Linked DNA regions of Saccharomyces cerevisiae S288C. The protein of the gene in region 1 purifies or fractionates together with the protein of each later gene. This does not show direct contact. Each region holds a gene or a part of one and is shown on either strand. Other genes may lie near its edges.

Region 1 (3,756 bases):
GAGTTTCAATTAATGTTGTAGGCGCGAGGCCCTGTAATATGGCAGTTGATCAAAAGTCAATAGATAATTTTCAAGCAAAATCTCATTTAGGTTTGACTACTTTCTTGAACTTGGAAGAGAAGCAAATATATTCAACGAAATGACTGCCCAACAAGTATGTGTAAAGATGAGTAAATTGAAGGATGTGATGGTTATGGAGATGGCACACGTGCCTAGAGGAAAATAGTTACCCAAGAACAAAAGCAGGAAGGGAGCTAACCTTTTAAATATGAACTGGACAAAACTGGACAAAATGAAAATAACGATTTTAGTAAAAATGAAAATATAGCATCAAATGACTGAGAAACATAGTAACAATAACTCATATTATAGCTAATCTGAGTAAACTTCTTCCTACGCTAAGAATTTTTTTGAGGATAGTACCAAACCTTGTGCTGAATCAGCACACGCCATGCCCACCATCAATTGTGCAAGAAAAAAGTAAACGAGTAGTATACTAACTATATATGTGATTTACATCACGATATGTCAATTATAGGCCCCAAAGTGGTATCCTTCCGAAGACGTTGCTGCCCCAAAGAAAACCAGAAAGGCTGTTCGCCCACAAAAGTTGCGTGCCTCTCTAGTTCCAGGCACTGTTTTGATCTTGCTAGCTGGCCGTTTCAGAGGTAAGAGAGTTGTCTACTTGAAACATCTAGAAGACAACACTCTATTGGTCACTGGTCCATTCAAGGTCAATGGTGTTCCATTGAGAAGAGTCAACGCTCGTTATGTCATTGCTACCTCTACCAAAGTCTCCGTGGAAGGTGTCAACGTTGAAAAATTCAACGTTGAATACTTTGCCAAGGAAAAATTGACCAAGAAGGAAAAGAAGGAAGCTAACTTGTTCCCAGAACAACAAACTAAGGAAATCAAGACTGAACGTGTTGAAGATCAAAAGGTTGTTGACAAGGCTTTGTTGGCTGAAATCAAGAAGACCCCATTGTTGAAGCAATATTTGTCCGCTTCTTTCTCTTTGAAGAACGGTGACAAGCCACACCTATTGAAATTCTAAATTGAACTGAAAAAATTATAAATGATTTAAAATAGAATTTCAAAACAAGGAGAATTGATAGAGAATGCGTTGATCTGAAAATACTGTTTGACAATAACGGAAAGGTAAGTGGATATGTAATCTAAGTTTAATCCTCTTCTAATTCATTTTTCCTATCAACATTATCTGTGCTTTTCTATATCCTTCTTTTTGTATCTATAATTTTTTTTTTCTCTTACATAGCAAAATACAAAAAATCATAAATATTAATATCTAAGGGTTCAAGATCAGGTCATCGCCGTTCTGGGCCACTAGGCTATATCTATTCATTTACATTGGAAGCTGCATGGTCTACTCCAACCGCACTGAGGCAAAGTCTCTGTGGAGGAAATGCTGTCCTAGCGAGCCATTGCAATAGGTATAATCAGAGTCGTCCTCCCAATGTGTTAACTTCTCTCAAAACCACCATATAAATTCTGTAACCTGCCAGCGATAATGTTATATATGTAAAAGGTAAACATACAACCCAATTTGTCCATACTAAGTGGATGCTGGGGAAGCAACTACAGTGCAGATGCTAAAGTTTGCTGCGGCAAATAATCTCAACATTTTTGTGATTAAACCTGCCTCAGTGGGGTGTATGATTAGTGCGTTGATATTTAATACACGCGTAAAAGTTAAGTCTGTTGTACGTTTTATTTCGAGTGACGAAAGAACTACGAATAACTTCCTGCATACTGTTGCCTTTTTCTGTATTTACGTATACTTTTATATCAAATAGCTTGGCCAAAAGAAAGTAGCATTGTGTATCAAGTCATAATTCTAATTCTTAGTTTAACTTCAGCAAAAATAATATTCTTCGTCAGACATTCTCATACAATCATTAACCCATATGAACGTTAAATTTCTCAATTTCTTGCCTTCGATGCCCTATGTATATTTTTATCTCAAACCCGAGGCAGTGAAAATTTTAGCTGGTGCATCGAAAAGAGAAGGGCATTGAAAATTTTACAGTGTTAAAAGAAGTGCTTTTCATGTTAGAATGATAAGAAAAAAGAAAAAGACAACAAAATATACGTCTCTACCATGTCTGATATGCTTCCATTGGCTACGTATAGCCTGAATGTTGAACCATACTCCCCAACCCCAGCTCTGAACTTCAAAATTCCGGTTACCATTAGAATCACAATGGCGGCCATCGACCCTGAGCCCTTTGACGATGACAAAAAGCCATCTACTTTAAGAATAATCAAAAGGAATCCTGAACTCACTCGCGGTGAGTACTACAACCAAGATAACAATGACGGCCTCGAAGAGGATGAAAGTGAAAGTGAACAAGAAGCAGATGTACCAAAAAGGAGTGTCAAATCAAAAAAAGGTAAGGCAGTCGAGCAAAGTGAATCAGAAGACTCTGAAGATGAAAACGAAATCGACGATGAATTCGAAGAATGCGTTCTTTTAACCTTATCTCCAAAAGGCCAATATCAACAAGCTTTGGATATTACCATTGCACCAGAGGAAGACGTTCAATTCGTCGTTACCGGTTCATACACTATCTCTCTAACCGGTAACTACGTCAAACATCCATTCGACAATTCTTCAGATTCAGACGAAGATGAAGAAGACTATTACAGTGACGAAGAATCTTCCAATGGAGAAGAAGAAGAAGAAGAAGAAGAAGAGGACGATGAGGAACTAAGTTCCGGTGATGACGATCTTGATGATTTAGTAGATGCTAGTGACATCGAAAGTCGTCTTGATGAATTAGTCAAAAAGGACGAAAAGAAGAAAAACAACAAGAAGGACAGTAAAAGGAAACATGAGGAAGATGAGGAAGAAAGTGCTAAACCTGCCGAGAAAAAACAAACGACCAAGAAAGACAAGAAAGCAGAGAAAGTTAAAGACTCGGAAGAGAGCAAACCAAAGCCAAAGACGAAGCTACTGGAAGGCGGTATTATCATTGAAGACCGCGTCACAGGAAAAGGCCCACATGCCAAAAAGGGTACCAGAGTTGGAATGAGATATGTTGGTAAGTTGAAGAACGGGAAAGTTTTTGACAAGAATACAAAGGGTAAGCCTTTTGTTTTTAAGTTGGGCCAAGGCGAAGTAATTAAAGGATGGGACATCGGTGTTGCTGGTATGGCGGTCGGTGGTGAGCGTAGAATTGTCATTCCTGCTCCATATGCCTACGGTAAACAAGCTTTGCCCGGTATTCCTGCTAACTCTGAATTGACATTTGATGTTAAATTGGTCTCCATGAAATAGGGTCCTTAATGCATACGTATTGATATATGTATCTATAATACTATATACAATTATCTATACTTCCATTACTAATATTATCTTTCAATTTTACATGTTTTTTTCTGCCATAAAAAAGCAATATTTTTTTGCGAGCTATTTAGTGATATAGCCGCCCAGCTACTTGTCGATGCATATATTGGCTGAGAGTACTAATACAATTATCGGAAGACCTCAAAGTAAAATATAGAAGCTTTGAGTAAAAGGAGCTCGAGTTTTAAAAATGACTTCGTAATATGTAAAGTTTATGTCATATATACTTACACGATAAATAGACCATTGATCGTTAGAGACGAGCGCATTGTTTTGTTGAATCCCTTTCAACAGCGCGACAAAAGTTAATCGAGAACAATAAGATGTTGCATTCAAGGGTTAGTCAAACATATCAGAAGGCCGTTTTCTAAATCACCTCAAGAACCTAC
Region 2 (3,756 bases), 870 kb from region 1:
TATAGGATCTAGCTATTTAGAACACTCTTTAGATCTAGATGATAGAGAGCGTAGCCCCTTTGTAACTACAGGACAATAATGCTTTTCAAGAAGAGCATTATCCCATAAGGTTGCTGCCTCTGGGTTACTCCTTGAAGGATTATCGGCTTCCATTATGAAATGACCGTTGCCTATTCTATCCTCGGAAGAGTAAAGGCCTGAAATTTCTGGATATCTATTCATTAATTTATCAATAAATTTAAGAATGGCAATACTTGTTTTTTCTGGGGTATGGCTGATGCACATGTACAATCTTTTGGTAAACGCCGTAGCCCTTTCTTTAGTCCCTGATTTAGAGCGGAAAAATACATGGTCCAGAGCCTTTAGCAGAAGTTCTGCTTTGGTAGAAACGTTAACTGATGGTTTTATTATTTCGTTATTGAGTGGGTCAGCCAACCTTAGCGATCTATAAGATAATTCGATGTCTGCATCAAGACAGATATAAGGTAATAGCGCGTAAAGCCCATCGACGAATTTGGACAAATCCACATTAACTTTCATATATTGTGTATTTGAAATAAGTGAGAATGCACTAACGATACAAAGCAAAGCCTTACGGACCTCAGCAGAGGAAAGGTTATCGAATTCAGTGTCACTAATAAGTTCTTTCATTACTTCGAGGAAGTCCCCTAATAGATCAAAGTTGGCCATATTACCAAACTTCGTTAGACCTTCCAAAACCGATCCAATGAGTGTTTTTGCATTGTTTTTCAAGATATTCAAATATATAGTGAAAACGATTTTTAGAATTTCGGATTGGTTTCTTTCTCTTTCCTCCGCAGAAACAGCTTGCTCAGCGTTACGCATTTCTTCCTCAATTTGTTGCATCTCTTTTCGAGCTTTTCTTTGCTTCTTAGAAAGATGGACCCTATCTTTCTTTTTGAGCTTAGGAGCGCTAACGTTACCTTTCAATTTAGTATTAGGGTCATAGTCATGTAAGACATCTAACGATAATAACATATTTAAAACAGATTCTTCGATGTTGAAGTTCCTCGTCTTTAGTATTTTGTTGAAAATTCTTAGTATCTCGAATGATATTGAGCCCTCTTCGTCCTCATTTAATAGAGTTTCAAATGTCTGGATTATTTGAATGGAAGTTGGATCTGTTGAAATTCTTGGTTTACAAATTCTACGCAACAGTAAAGTGAAAATGTCTGTTCTAAAGTTGAAATGGGATGCCGTTGAAATCAATTCTTTTGCGGCTTGAGTGGCCAAAATCCCTAATGAAACCTGTATAGGAGCAGCATTACTGGGAGTTTTTGAAAGACTCTGTAATCTTCCGACGTAATTTTTGTAGTTATAAACTAAGGCTTGCTCAAAGTTTCTAAGCTTGGAGACTTCTTTAGAAACTTTTTCCTTCTTTTCAGTTTCAGTTAGTGGTCGAATTCTATAGCCTGGTATGATACTCTTAAACACGGGGACCAAAGCCAACATGGAAAACTTACAAGTATTAGGATTTTTAGATTCCACCATTTTACATAGACGCCCCAACGCAGCAGTATTTTCTTCAGGCTCCTCCATAACTTTAGTGACTAAATCGGCAATGTCTTCTTTTAGTTGCAGAATTTTTTCCTCCGTATCAGGCTCATCCTCCTTTGCCTCTGCTTCTTGTTCTTCATTAGGTCCCTCATCATCTTCTGAAGAGTCATTAGAGTCTTCGTCTTCCTCATCATCGTCCTTTGGTTTTTCTTGGGCTTTATGCAATTTTCTTTCAACTTTACCGTTAACTTTTATAGGCAGGCCTTCAACAAGATTTGATGTATCAGACCGATTCTTCCGAGGAACCATTTCGTAATCCTGTTCTTCTTCATCCCAGGATGAGCCTTTTGCGCTATATATGGTATTTTCATCCATATCTTCCGGTGCATTTTGGAAAACATTGCCTTCTAACAAGGAATCTTCGTGCTTTCTTTTCTTTGCAGTCCTTTCCTGAATGCGAAATTGAGATCTATTTCTCTTAGCCATTATTACTATGATATCTCCAGCTTTTATCCCGGAATTATACTCTTATGATTGAAGACATAAAATGCCAAGTTTATACCATGAAAATACTATATATGGCAGGCAGGTGAATGAGATGAGATAAAATTTTCAGTTTTCGGGCATCGCTGAAAAAATTCAAAAACTAAAGTAAAACGACGTCCCATGGTCTACTCTACGGTGAAGAAAATGAGGGAAGACATTGAATTTCTGAATCTAAGTAACTACAAAAAAGCATACACTCCATGGAAAGAGTAAAATAGGATAAATTGGTTTTATGTAGTTAAAGAAAAAATACATTGTTATATATGGAGTTTGCTGCGCGCCTAGGCGTTCTCGAAGTTTCTCCTTTGATTTTACTTTTTGGAAGGGCTTTGGACAATTTAAAGAAGATAATTTGAAGTACCCCATCAAATGCTAGAATGAAATATTTAATATACTAAATTAAGGCTGGTATTTAAAAACGTAATCTTATGTGTAGAACCTCAGTGAAAAAGCGCTATTATTAATATAACAGTATTTTCACGGAGCTTTTTTTATTCAAAAAGGTTTTCAAGACTTGGCAGAGGACGGCTGCATTCTCGAATGATAATATAGTATTATCCTTAGGATCTAAATAACTTGCATCAAGAATGATATCTAACTTTTCCTTACCTTGGAAAAGTAAGTCAGTAGCTTCTATAATTTTCTGCATTCTTGTTGGAGTGGCAATAAAATATAGTGAATCTTTATTTTTGTTTGATTTTTTAGAGCTGTCAGTAAGTAAACGTTCCACGGTGGCTATGTCATCCTTTAGTTTACTTTTAGAGAATAATTTGACGCAATTTTTGCCACCGTTTAGACTACGATAAACGTCTGCTACTCTAATATTAGACATAGAAAAAACAATTTTTTTTGGAGCTACGGAAAATTTTTGAATAAAGGCTGGGAAATTGCTTAATCTGCGTTCAGCGTCAAATTTTTCTGTCGAAAGAAAATCATTTCTTTTGAAGTAAAGTTCCTCTAATTCTAAAACACTCAAGTCAGGATTTTTTTCTCGTATCAAAGTTGTTAGGTACTCAATAATTTTTTCTGGTGAACTTGCTGGAAGTGCTTTTCGTTGTGAGACGATATACTGGCTTTCCTCTTTCTTTTTCTCAATTAGCTTTGATTTTTTCTGTAGCTTTTTCTGTCTTTTCGAAATAGGTCTATTCGAATCATCTTCTGAATTTCTCTCCTCTTTTTTCCCATCTATATCATCAACGTCATCGTCATCTTGTTCTATAGACCTCTTTTGTACCTTTTTGGTTGGGGGACTACCATCCTTGGCGTCAAAAATTACTTCATGTTCGGCATCAAAATCATAGGCGAGTCCATCATCTAAATCATCTGGATTAGACATTTTCAGCTCAATTGTCCTGACGATATGTTTAGAAGTTAGTAGCGGGGATCAAATTTCGACTTTCATTGCCTCATCCATGGTCATCTCAAAAATTTTCTCTTCAATTTTTTGGTAAATACCAAGTGCAATGAATGTTTGGGTGTCTTTGAATATTGAATATTACAGACTAAAAATATTATATATTGTAAATTAAAAGTTGATTATTAGTAAATGTACCTGAAATTTCTGTTTTCGATATCAGTCAAGTCCAAAAATTGGTACTTCTTCCTTTCTTGACCTTCTTGTTCCTTATCACGCTTTTCGTTCTCCTTCTTGCAAATGTAGCCAATGTATAATTGTAGGGGAACACAAACACA

The links. Proteins that work in one complex are often made in the same cells at the same time.
Region 2: the proteins of FPR4 (region 1) and NOC3 purify together in Saccharomyces cerevisiae (affinity purification with mass spectrometry; 2 studies listed by BioGRID). This does not show direct contact.

What each region holds. Positions count from the first base shown.
Region 1 is NC_001144.5:1,028,715-1,032,470, forward strand, and holds FPR4 (peptidylprolyl isomerase FPR4), read left to right. Parts: upstream 1-2,119; coding exon 2,120-3,298; downstream 3,299-3,756. Other genes in the region: 60S ribosomal protein eL6 RPL6B, read left to right, coding at 140-154, 539-1,054. UniProt on the Saccharomyces cerevisiae protein: PPIase that acts as a histone chaperone. Histone proline isomerase that increases the rate of cis-trans isomerization at 'Pro-17' (H3P16), 'Pro-31' (H3P30) and 'Pro-39 (H3P38) on the histone H3 N-terminal tail.
Region 2 is NC_001144.5:154,331-158,086, forward strand, and holds NOC3 (Noc3p), read right to left. Parts: upstream 2,005-3,756; coding exon 13-2,004; downstream 1-12. Other genes in the region: CMS1 (Cms1p), read right to left, coding at 2,525-3,400; THI73 (Thi73p), read right to left, coding at 3,604-3,756. UniProt on the Saccharomyces cerevisiae protein: Required for synthesis of 60S ribosomal subunits and the transport of pre-ribosomes from the nucleoplasm to the cytoplasm. Also required for initiation of DNA replication.